Linked DNA regions of Nothobranchius furzeri. The protein of the gene in region 1 interacts with the protein of each later gene in a biochemical or structural test. Links are inferred from orthologs where the notes say so. Each region holds a gene or a part of one and is shown on either strand. Other genes may lie near its edges.

Region 1 (4,526 bases):
TATCCGTCTGGATGTTCCACAGACGAAGAGCGTGATCTAAAGAAAATTTCAAATGTTACAAATCATCATTTATTCATTTTCACACAAGTAAGCTTTTACTAAAAACACTGAATCTGTCAGGGAAAAGATCCAGGAGCATCTGGAGGCGTGTCGATGACCATCACCATCAGGGGCTTTACCTTTGCTGACAGACAGGAGAAGATTCGGATCCCTTGGGTGAAACTTGAGCTCGTTGATGGCGTTCCCGTGACCCACGTAGTGCTGGATGGGAAACAAACACACTACTAAATGACCCTCAAAGCCACATTTTCAAAGAGGTTCTCTACAGGAAGACTACCTTGATGCACTGCATTGTGATGTGATTGATGACCCGAATGATGCCGCGGGACCCGGCTACAGCCAACAGCGGGTGGCTGGTGTTGGTGTCATAGGTCCAAGCACACGTGTAGAAGTTCTCATCTGCCTTGGAACGCGTTCAGTCAAGAAAATCGCAGAAATCAAAAAGTTTCTGACATTTCTGCAGCTACTGATCAACTCTTGGGTCTTTCCAAAATAGATGTTGAGAAAAAGATGATTAACCCTTTAGGCGCCATAGTTTTTTCAGTAAAATATAAGTTTTTCATATCACTACTTAAAGAGCTTGTAGCTTAAATCTGGTTAGAGATAGAGGAATATTGTAAATTAGAAAAATCTTCAGTATGAGCCAAATTTTGTGATAGGAACAAATTCACTCACACAATTTTCATACTATGACATCATCAGATAGCAGCCATATTGGATTGCATCACATTTGCGGATTTGTTTGTCTTATTTTCTTAGTGTTGTTATTGTTTATGATACATATATGTGTACATAGGAATATGTATATAACTATGTATGTGTATATATATATATATATATACATATATATACACATATTACTTTATTGGTATTTTGTTATGTTTACTGCGTATCAATCAAGAACACTGTTTTTGGTGCTTCAGTGTCATGAACACATTTCACTCATCCCTTCTTTAATTATAGTTTATTTGGTTTATAATTGTTATATATATATATACACACACACACACACACACATGGTTACTATAATGGTTAGTTTTACCAAACTCACAGGACACACCCACTCTCTCAGGAAGAAAGCTTTGGTCATGCGTCAAAAACATGTGAAGTTATGTTTATCTGAACTCTGTTAGCTGGATAAGGTGAACTTGACCTCCTTTGCTGAACACATCTTTTACTGTCATCATAATCATTATTATTATACACACATTTATATAGCTAGATAGATGATAGCTAGATAGATGATAGATATAGATAGATAATAGAGGATAGCTGATAGACAGGGGCTGAATTGATCACCAGCAGAGTTTTCAACGGCCCGATCACCGCCACCACATTCCCCATGCATGAGGGCTCATTTCTGCTGCTGTGGCTTATTAAATCCAACATTGCTGCTTGTCGCAATTCTGCGACTTTGGCGCTTAAAGGGTTAACATATCTGTAAATCTTCATTTACTGATCTGTATCTAAATTAAAGAACAACAGATTCCTTTTTGTGAAGTTTAGTTTGAGCCAAAGCAGGAAGGATACATCTGCATCAACGTACGACTGCAACAGTCGGATCTCTCCCTGAGAGTGGCATTCATACAAGGTTACCTGTTAGAGAAATCAGAAATATCATTTATGTAAAACTAAATGTTTTTCACAACAAGAAATGTGTATTTTTAATGAAAAAAGTCCTGAATAATCATCATTCTTTAAAATTTGTCAAATCTCTTATTTTCTGTAACAGTAAATTAAGGACACTTGAAGCAGCTTATCAGACACAAAAGGACGTCTGATTGCTTGAAAGGCATCACCATCTTTCTATCATGCAAGATATGGAACTGATGAGCAGAAAATTGATTCTGAACTAGAAAAATTCATGAAAACACCCAGAAAAAGCCAAATAAAATCTGTCTGCTTGGGGTTACCCTGTTACTCCCGACTGTGGCGAACACCAGTGGGTCTCCTTCCTTACTGTGCCAGTTAAACTGGACTCCAAACAGTGGCTGGCCATGGTCCTCCTGAAAAATATCCACAAAGTTTCACTCCCACTTCACCTGTAAACTAAATTCTGTAAATGATGATATTTGAATGTATTTAGAACAGCAGACATTCTCACTCTTAAACTGTTAACACATTTAAAAGAATATCTGCACTTCTTGGACTTCCACTTGCCCTTGCCCCAGCTCTTCCTGCCTGGGGCATTGGCGGTGTTGGTGGGGGTGTCTGGACGCTCAGTGTTGGTCCCACTTTCAACACTGACCGCATCATCCTGTAAACCAGAGATGCGGTTACTGAAAGACAAGATGTCCAAAACAAAACACCCAACCTAACCACATTCATTTTATTGGACAAGTACCAGTAAACCTAGGCTTTATTTGGACAGAAATAAGTGAAACAAATGTTTGAAGCACTTTTAACATGAAAAACAGACTACCAGCAAGTTTTTCCTTTCCTCAAAATGAAAAATAAACATTATAAACTGCATTTGAACACTTATTTTAGGAATTTGTAAATAAATACAAGCTTCTAAATCACTCCTGCTGAAGCTAAATCGAACAAGCCAGGCTTTTTGAGGTTAAATATAAAAGCCCATGCTTCTGTGGGTCACATAGACTGATTTAGAGCCATTACCACCATCAGAACCACAGCTGCAGGTGAACAAAGATGCCAGCTAGCTAAGCTCTTTAGCTTTCCGGCTTCTTGCTTTAGCGCTGAGCTAACCGGCTAAAACGTTCACTTGTAGTTGCAGAAATGTTTATAGAGCTCTTACGTTCTCGTCTCCTGACAAATCGGGGTTGCTGTTCTCGTCACTGCTTAGTTTTTGTTTTTTGGCCGGTAATTCTTTTCCCGCTTCAGACAGGCTCTTGTCTCTCATTTTAGCTCCGAAGGCTAACCCGCCCGCTGTTCCTTCTTCTTCAATCTAATTTAAGGCAAGGTGAACTTTCAGAAGGCGCTCTGTCACCCCCTGTTGGTCACGTTTAGTTACTGACGGAGAAGCTTCCACTTTTTGAGTTTTCTGCTTTATTTCACTTTGGACAGGATTCAGATCGGTTTAAAAATAGTAAATCCCGTGTTTTTTTTAACTCCCTAAACAACCTATTTGTTAAAAAGAATACATTCTGCTCTTAAATTGTACATTTAAATGTCTAACACAGTAACTTGGGACATTTCAAGGCAATATTTCCACATTCTTCAGCTGTAAAAATGTATTTTTTCCTTGAAAATGTCGTACTATTTACCTTTGTTAGTATTAAATAAAAATAATATTTTAGATTTGTTCTTTTATATTTCTAGAAATACTTCTTTTGACTTAATACTGCCCAGCAAAGCTAGTTTTAACCACAAATGGCAATTCAGTCTTTAAGTGTAAATTTCTAATATAAGTAAGAAATAACTCCAAAAATATTTTTTGCGTGCCAAATTGAAAGATTAACCCGTAGCAGCCTCTCAAATGAATAAATTTACCAGAAAAAAGCCAAAAACAAGAAAGACACTTTTACTGAATTTATTATAAAAACAGGCTATTTTAATATTTAAAGTATGGAAAAATGGACTTTTACAGTTGAACATCTGTCAATCTGAGACATTTTTAGTAATCAGACTACAAGATCATCTCTGAGTCATCTAAAGAGGCTTCGCTCATCTCCTCCGACAACCCTTCATCCTGCTCTTCTTTCTCCTCCTCCTCGGCAGGCCTCTTTACACACTTCTGCTTTGAAAGCGCCACAGCGTAACGGATGTTGTACATGTTGAAGTTGCAGCTGTGGAAAAAAAATATATATAAATATATATATTTAATGACTTAATGCTTCATTTTAGTTATGATGATTAATGGAGCAACAGTGTTGAGACGTACAGCTTTGACAGGTTGTCAAAGTGTCTCTGGATGCTCTTCTGAAGCGCCTGCAGCGTGGGCAGAACCGAGCCAGACCTGCGGACCATAAGAGATCCAGTTAAGACACTGATGATGATAATGATGATGCGAGTCGAGGCAGCCGTGTCGACCTGTTCTTTAGTTTCTGTCCGTGCAGCATCAGCAGGTTCTGGGCCCAGGTCATGTAGAACTGCAGGTGACCTGACTTCTCCAGACAATCGGCCACGAAGCCCAGGAGCTTCTCCACGTAGACGTCGGGCAGAGAGCCACAGACCACCGGGACTGAAACACAAACTCAGTCAGGCGTCAGAGGTCCAAACTCTCCTGGCCGACGGTTTTTAAAGCCACTCACTCTGATCGTGCGGCACCGTTTCCAGAACTTCCTGCTTCAGGGCGTTCTCGTTGAGTCGGAACGCCAGGACAATGGCCGCCATCCACTCCTTTAGGCGCAGCTGTTTTCGGATGCTGGTCGGCGTCACGTCCAGATCCAGATCGTATGGGTCGAAGACCAGAGACCCGTCTAGGGAGTAGATCAACAGGCCCTCGGTGGTGGTGGCGGCCCAGCTTCGACCTGACAGGAGGAACCAGGTCAATCGTTTTAGAT
Region 2 (4,325 bases), on another chromosome or scaffold:
GTTTGAGCATCGGCACGAGCCCCCGCCCTGAGAGAACAAACATCTCAGCCCTGAAGCTGATCTTCATCCGCATACGTCACATATCACGTGATCAGGAAGCAGAACATCCATGTGTTAGGAGATCGTTTTGGGCCGTTCCTGTAAAAAAAAGTGAGGCGCGAACCGGAAAAGCGTCTGCCGATCACAATTCGACAACGGATTATGAAAGAACGGATAATGCTCGAAACACACGGCTTCTTCCTGATGTAAGAGGTGAGTCTCCTCTTTGTTTTTGGTTGTTTTGGCATTGACATCATGCTAGCGCGCAACGTTCTGTGACTCTTAAAAAAAATCATAAAAATGGTGAGAAACGCTGGCAGCGAAGGCCGTTACCCCCAAATTCCACTACCTCCATTCCGCTCTGGTCCGGTCCGCCCCGCCTTCCGCAGCCGCTCGCTTCCAAACTCAATTTTTACTGGTACCCGCTCTACAACGGCTCCGCTCCGGTGCGGAGACCTGAGGTGGGCAAACAAGCATGCACGGGATTTTCGAGATCTTGCGATACAGTCCGAGCAATAAACGCGGAAGTTAGATCCAAACACCCGTTGTGTGGGAGAAGCATCGGCATGAACTGTTTAATCTGCCCATCATTTGTGTTGAGAGATCAGCAGTGTTTGGATGAACAAAGTGTGACTACTTTGATAGTAGAAACTGTATTTATGGCTTACTTTTGTGCATTTAAACTTCAGCCGCCACTGATAGTTGTTAAAAGTTGTTAAACCTGTGCATATGAAACAAAAAACGCCTTTTTTTATCGATTTATTGTGAAAAACGGAAGTTGTGCTTGCTCCTTTTCCTGTTGGGCGGTTGTGATTTCTGTCCATTTACTGCGGAGGTGCTCCGGCGTCCGGCGAAAATAGGATCGATTCTATTTTTGCCGGACGCCGGAACAGAGGGCAGCGCACTGCGCCGCATTGCCGGAGCACGGCCGCAGTAGTGGAATTGCTCTGATTGACTACAACGGGACCGATTTTGCTCCGGCGTTCGTGTCGGAGCGGAGGTAGTGGAATTTGGGGGTAAGTGATCAGGAAACGGCTGGCAGTGAGTGAGTTAAAAAACCAAACACACTGAGATCATTTCACACTGTGGCTAATTTGCATACAAATAATTCCATTAAGATGCCACAAGCGCAAAACAGGATGTCAAAACAAGTCAAGAGTAACAAGCGGCGAGTCAGTGGAGCTGATCTGAATTCTAACAAACCTCCAACTCTGTCTCTTCCTCCGGAAGCCCGAGCAGTCCTTTTAGCTCCTCCTCATCTCCTGTCTTACTGTCGCCGGTGCCAGCGCTTCCTTGGGTTTGGGGTTTTTCTCTGATGGTGTAGGTACGTGTTGACGCCCCGAAGGATATTGTAGAGTCGATTGGAACCTGCTGAGGCTTGTGAGGCTCAAGGCGAATGTGTCCGAGGAAGGTACCATGTGCTTAAATTGTAAAAAAATAATAATAATTAGGATTAATACATTAAAAGAGCAGAGTGACTGAGAAATAATTAAAGTGTTTGTGAAATCTTACTGCTATTAAGATCTATAAGGAAGAGCCTTTTTAGGTGTTTATGGTAGACTAGAGCGGCGTGAACACGCGAGCACGACTGATGGTCGATGGTGAAGTCACACCAGTCGGGGTTCCTACCAAACAGGTAGAACTTCTTTTCATCTATGATCAGTTTCTACAAGGAGAAACGGATGGTGTGAATTAGTAATGGCGTACATTAATGCATTTGTGCCTCTGAGTTATAACTCAACAGTGTTGCTTTCCACTGAAGGGCTTAAATCTCAGGGCTGATGTTGTTCTCGCACCTTTTGAAGCCATGCAGTCATAGGTTAACCCCATTGTGCAACACGCACAGGGCGGAGCAGACTGTCAGGCTTGTATCTGGTGCTTTTAACATTTGTACAATAGTAACAATCACATGTGTGTTCTGCTATGTGGAAAACAGAATCATTAGATGTTTAAAATAATAAGGAATGACATTTTATTGTGGAATTTGCTTATGTTTAAGAGATTAAACAAATCTGGATTTTTAACTTAGAAATTAAATAGAACTGAGATAATTAAAGCTGATTTTAAAGAGTCCAAACTAAATAACAGTTTAAATTTCCAGTTACCTCAACCAGTTTGTCTCCTTTCATCACGTCTAAGTGCAGTCCTGTGGGCGGTTTTCCTCCCCTATAAGAAACAATTAGAGACTTATTTAAACACTGAACTGATCTCAGAAAATACAGCAGTGCATAAATATATTTACAGCATATTTAACCATTTTATAATCTAATTTTAATTCATTTATTCAAACATTTAGCTCTTTTCACTCGAACCGAATACTTCAAGAGCATATCTGTCAAAAAATGTCCTGCTGTCACCTCTATACGTTTCAACTAGGTGAGAAACTTTTAAAATCAAGCCTTTCATTCATTTTCAAGCAGAAAGCAAACCGTGATCCGCATTTAGGCTAGCCTTGTAGGAGGGGTTAGCCTGCTAGCTCGATTGGATGCTAACGCTAACGAACTTCTTTCCTCTATAAAAGTTACAATTGTTAACGTAACAACGTCGTTTTGCTCGTTTGCACATAATCAAGCGCTGCAGTTGGTATTTTAGTACTTCAACATGTGCATTTTCTCACCATGATGGGCAGTCAAAAGGTGGACCGTCTTTGCTTGTTTTAGCTGCCATCTTCCCTCTACATGTTAACGATGCATTTTGGGTAATTGTCGCTTAGGAATGCTGGGAAATGTAGTCCGGTAATAGACCACGCCATATTAAAAAAAAGTAAAAGTACAAAAAACAAGCTAATATTTCGCATTTATAGATGTGGTTGTGTGTGGAACTTATATATTGTTGAGTTTATGATTAAATTCGGGTTTTAGAGTTAGTATGAAGTAGTCTACTAAAAATAATAAAGAAAAAAGTTCAGGTAAGTCACATTTATAGTTCATAAAAAACACTAATTTTATCATCACAAATCTACTACTGTGTGTAAAGTTGCAATTTGTTATCAAAAGAGAACATTAACGCGCAACAGGGGCGGAAACAGCTACTCACCTAATAATGATTAAATAAAAACAAATTATATAATTTCAGTCCAATTCTGTTAATATTAAAACAATAGACCTTAAATGATAAGTTTTTCTTTATACTGGAAAGATAATGTACATCATAACAACATAGTTTTGTTTAATGTAAACTGATTCTGTTTATATGTTTCAGACAGATGGAGGTGACAAATTTTACTTTTACTTAAGCAGCTTCTCTTCAGCCCAACAAAAACACAAATCAAGCACACGCAAGGGTGCCCCCAAGGGTGGCCAGGGGTGGCCATGGCCACCCCTAGAAAACAGCTTTTTAGTGCATTTTGTGTGACACAGCCAGATGTTTTTATTTTAAAACTTTTAACCTTTATTTAACAAGACAAAGTATTTCTTACAACTGTGGCCAATCCAAAGGTAGTGCCTTTTGACAGAAGGATGGGCTAAATTGCAAAAGTTACCTTTTCCACAAAAACAAAACAAAAACAATATTTTACAAGAACATCTAGATTGAGATGACTTACGGTTTTCTGTTTGAATAATTTAAGTAGCCCAAGACATTTGAGCAGATTCATTCAGATGATAATTTTAAAAGCCACTATTTTATTATTTGATAAAACCAGGCCATTTGTTTAACCAACAAGGATTTATCTCAAAGTCCATTTAGAAATGTTCATTAAAAAAAATTAACATTAAAAATTTGTTTGGTGTTTTTTAATGTTTCAAATAAGAAAAAAAAATGTCCTTTTTGTTTTAAGAGATATTAACATGTATTTGTCAAAAATGTGGCTTTTATAAAATTTAAAGTTCCTAAAGAAACCACTGGAGGTCTCTGAACTCCAAATTGCAAATTCTCAGTAAAGACCCAAAAAATAAAGTTTTGAAAAAGTTTGAAATGTTGGTTTGGAAACAGCGATACCACAAGCCTCCTACAGCATTTGTTACAAAGATTCAGCACCTAGAGTTTAACACAGAAAAGGGATGAATAAGTAGCCAGATTCGACTGACGCTTTGCTTATTTTCTCTTTCTGATTTGTAAACTGTGGGTTTGAGGGTCATAGGCTTCGGTCTTGTCATAGAAAAAGTAAAGCTGCCATACTTTTAGTTTCTCTTTAAAGCAGAAGGAAATGAGCCTGCAGTCTTTTTGTCCTTTTACAAATAAACTAATGCCATCAAAGTTCCCTTATAAATGATAAAACACAAAAAAGAACATGTTTGGGTAAGGTGCCTTTGATCATTCATTGGTTGAAAACATAGTTTGTCACA

What was found.
Region 2: the proteins of eed (region 1) and ppp1r8b form a complex in vitro, tested with the Homo sapiens proteins (2 studies listed by BioGRID). The link is inferred for Nothobranchius furzeri from reciprocal best matches to the Homo sapiens genes EED and PPP1R8.

Annotation. Positions count from the first base shown.
Region 1 is NC_091743.1:86,053,249-86,057,774, reverse strand, and holds the start of eed (polycomb protein eed), read right to left. Parts: upstream 2,993-4,526; 5' UTR 2,924-2,992; coding exon 2,819-2,923; intron 2,318-2,818; coding exon 2,165-2,317; intron 2,067-2,164; coding exon 1,974-2,066; intron 1,657-1,973; coding exon 1,591-1,656; intron 464-1,590; coding exon 338-463; intron 262-337; coding exon 180-261; intron 37-179; coding exon 1-36. Other genes in the region: pwp2h (PWP2 small subunit processome component), read right to left, coding at 3,650-3,809, 3,905-3,979, 4,054-4,204, 4,275-4,493. UniProt on the Homo sapiens protein: Polycomb group (PcG) protein. Component of the PRC2/EED-EZH2 complex, which methylates 'Lys-9' and 'Lys-27' of histone H3, leading to transcriptional repression of the affected target gene.
Region 2 is NC_091745.1:72,000,099-72,004,423, reverse strand, and holds the start of ppp1r8b (protein phosphatase 1, regulatory subunit 8b), read right to left. Parts: upstream 2,913-4,325; 5' UTR 2,707-2,912; coding exon 2,657-2,706; intron 2,206-2,656; coding exon 2,145-2,205; intron 1,921-2,144; exon of another isoform or gene 1,755-1,920; intron 1,706-1,754; coding exon 1,552-1,705; intron 1,461-1,551; coding exon 1,243-1,460; intron 1-1,242. UniProt on the Homo sapiens protein: Inhibitor subunit of the major nuclear protein phosphatase-1 (PP-1). It has RNA-binding activity but does not cleave RNA and may target PP-1 to RNA-associated substrates. May also be involved in pre-mRNA splicing.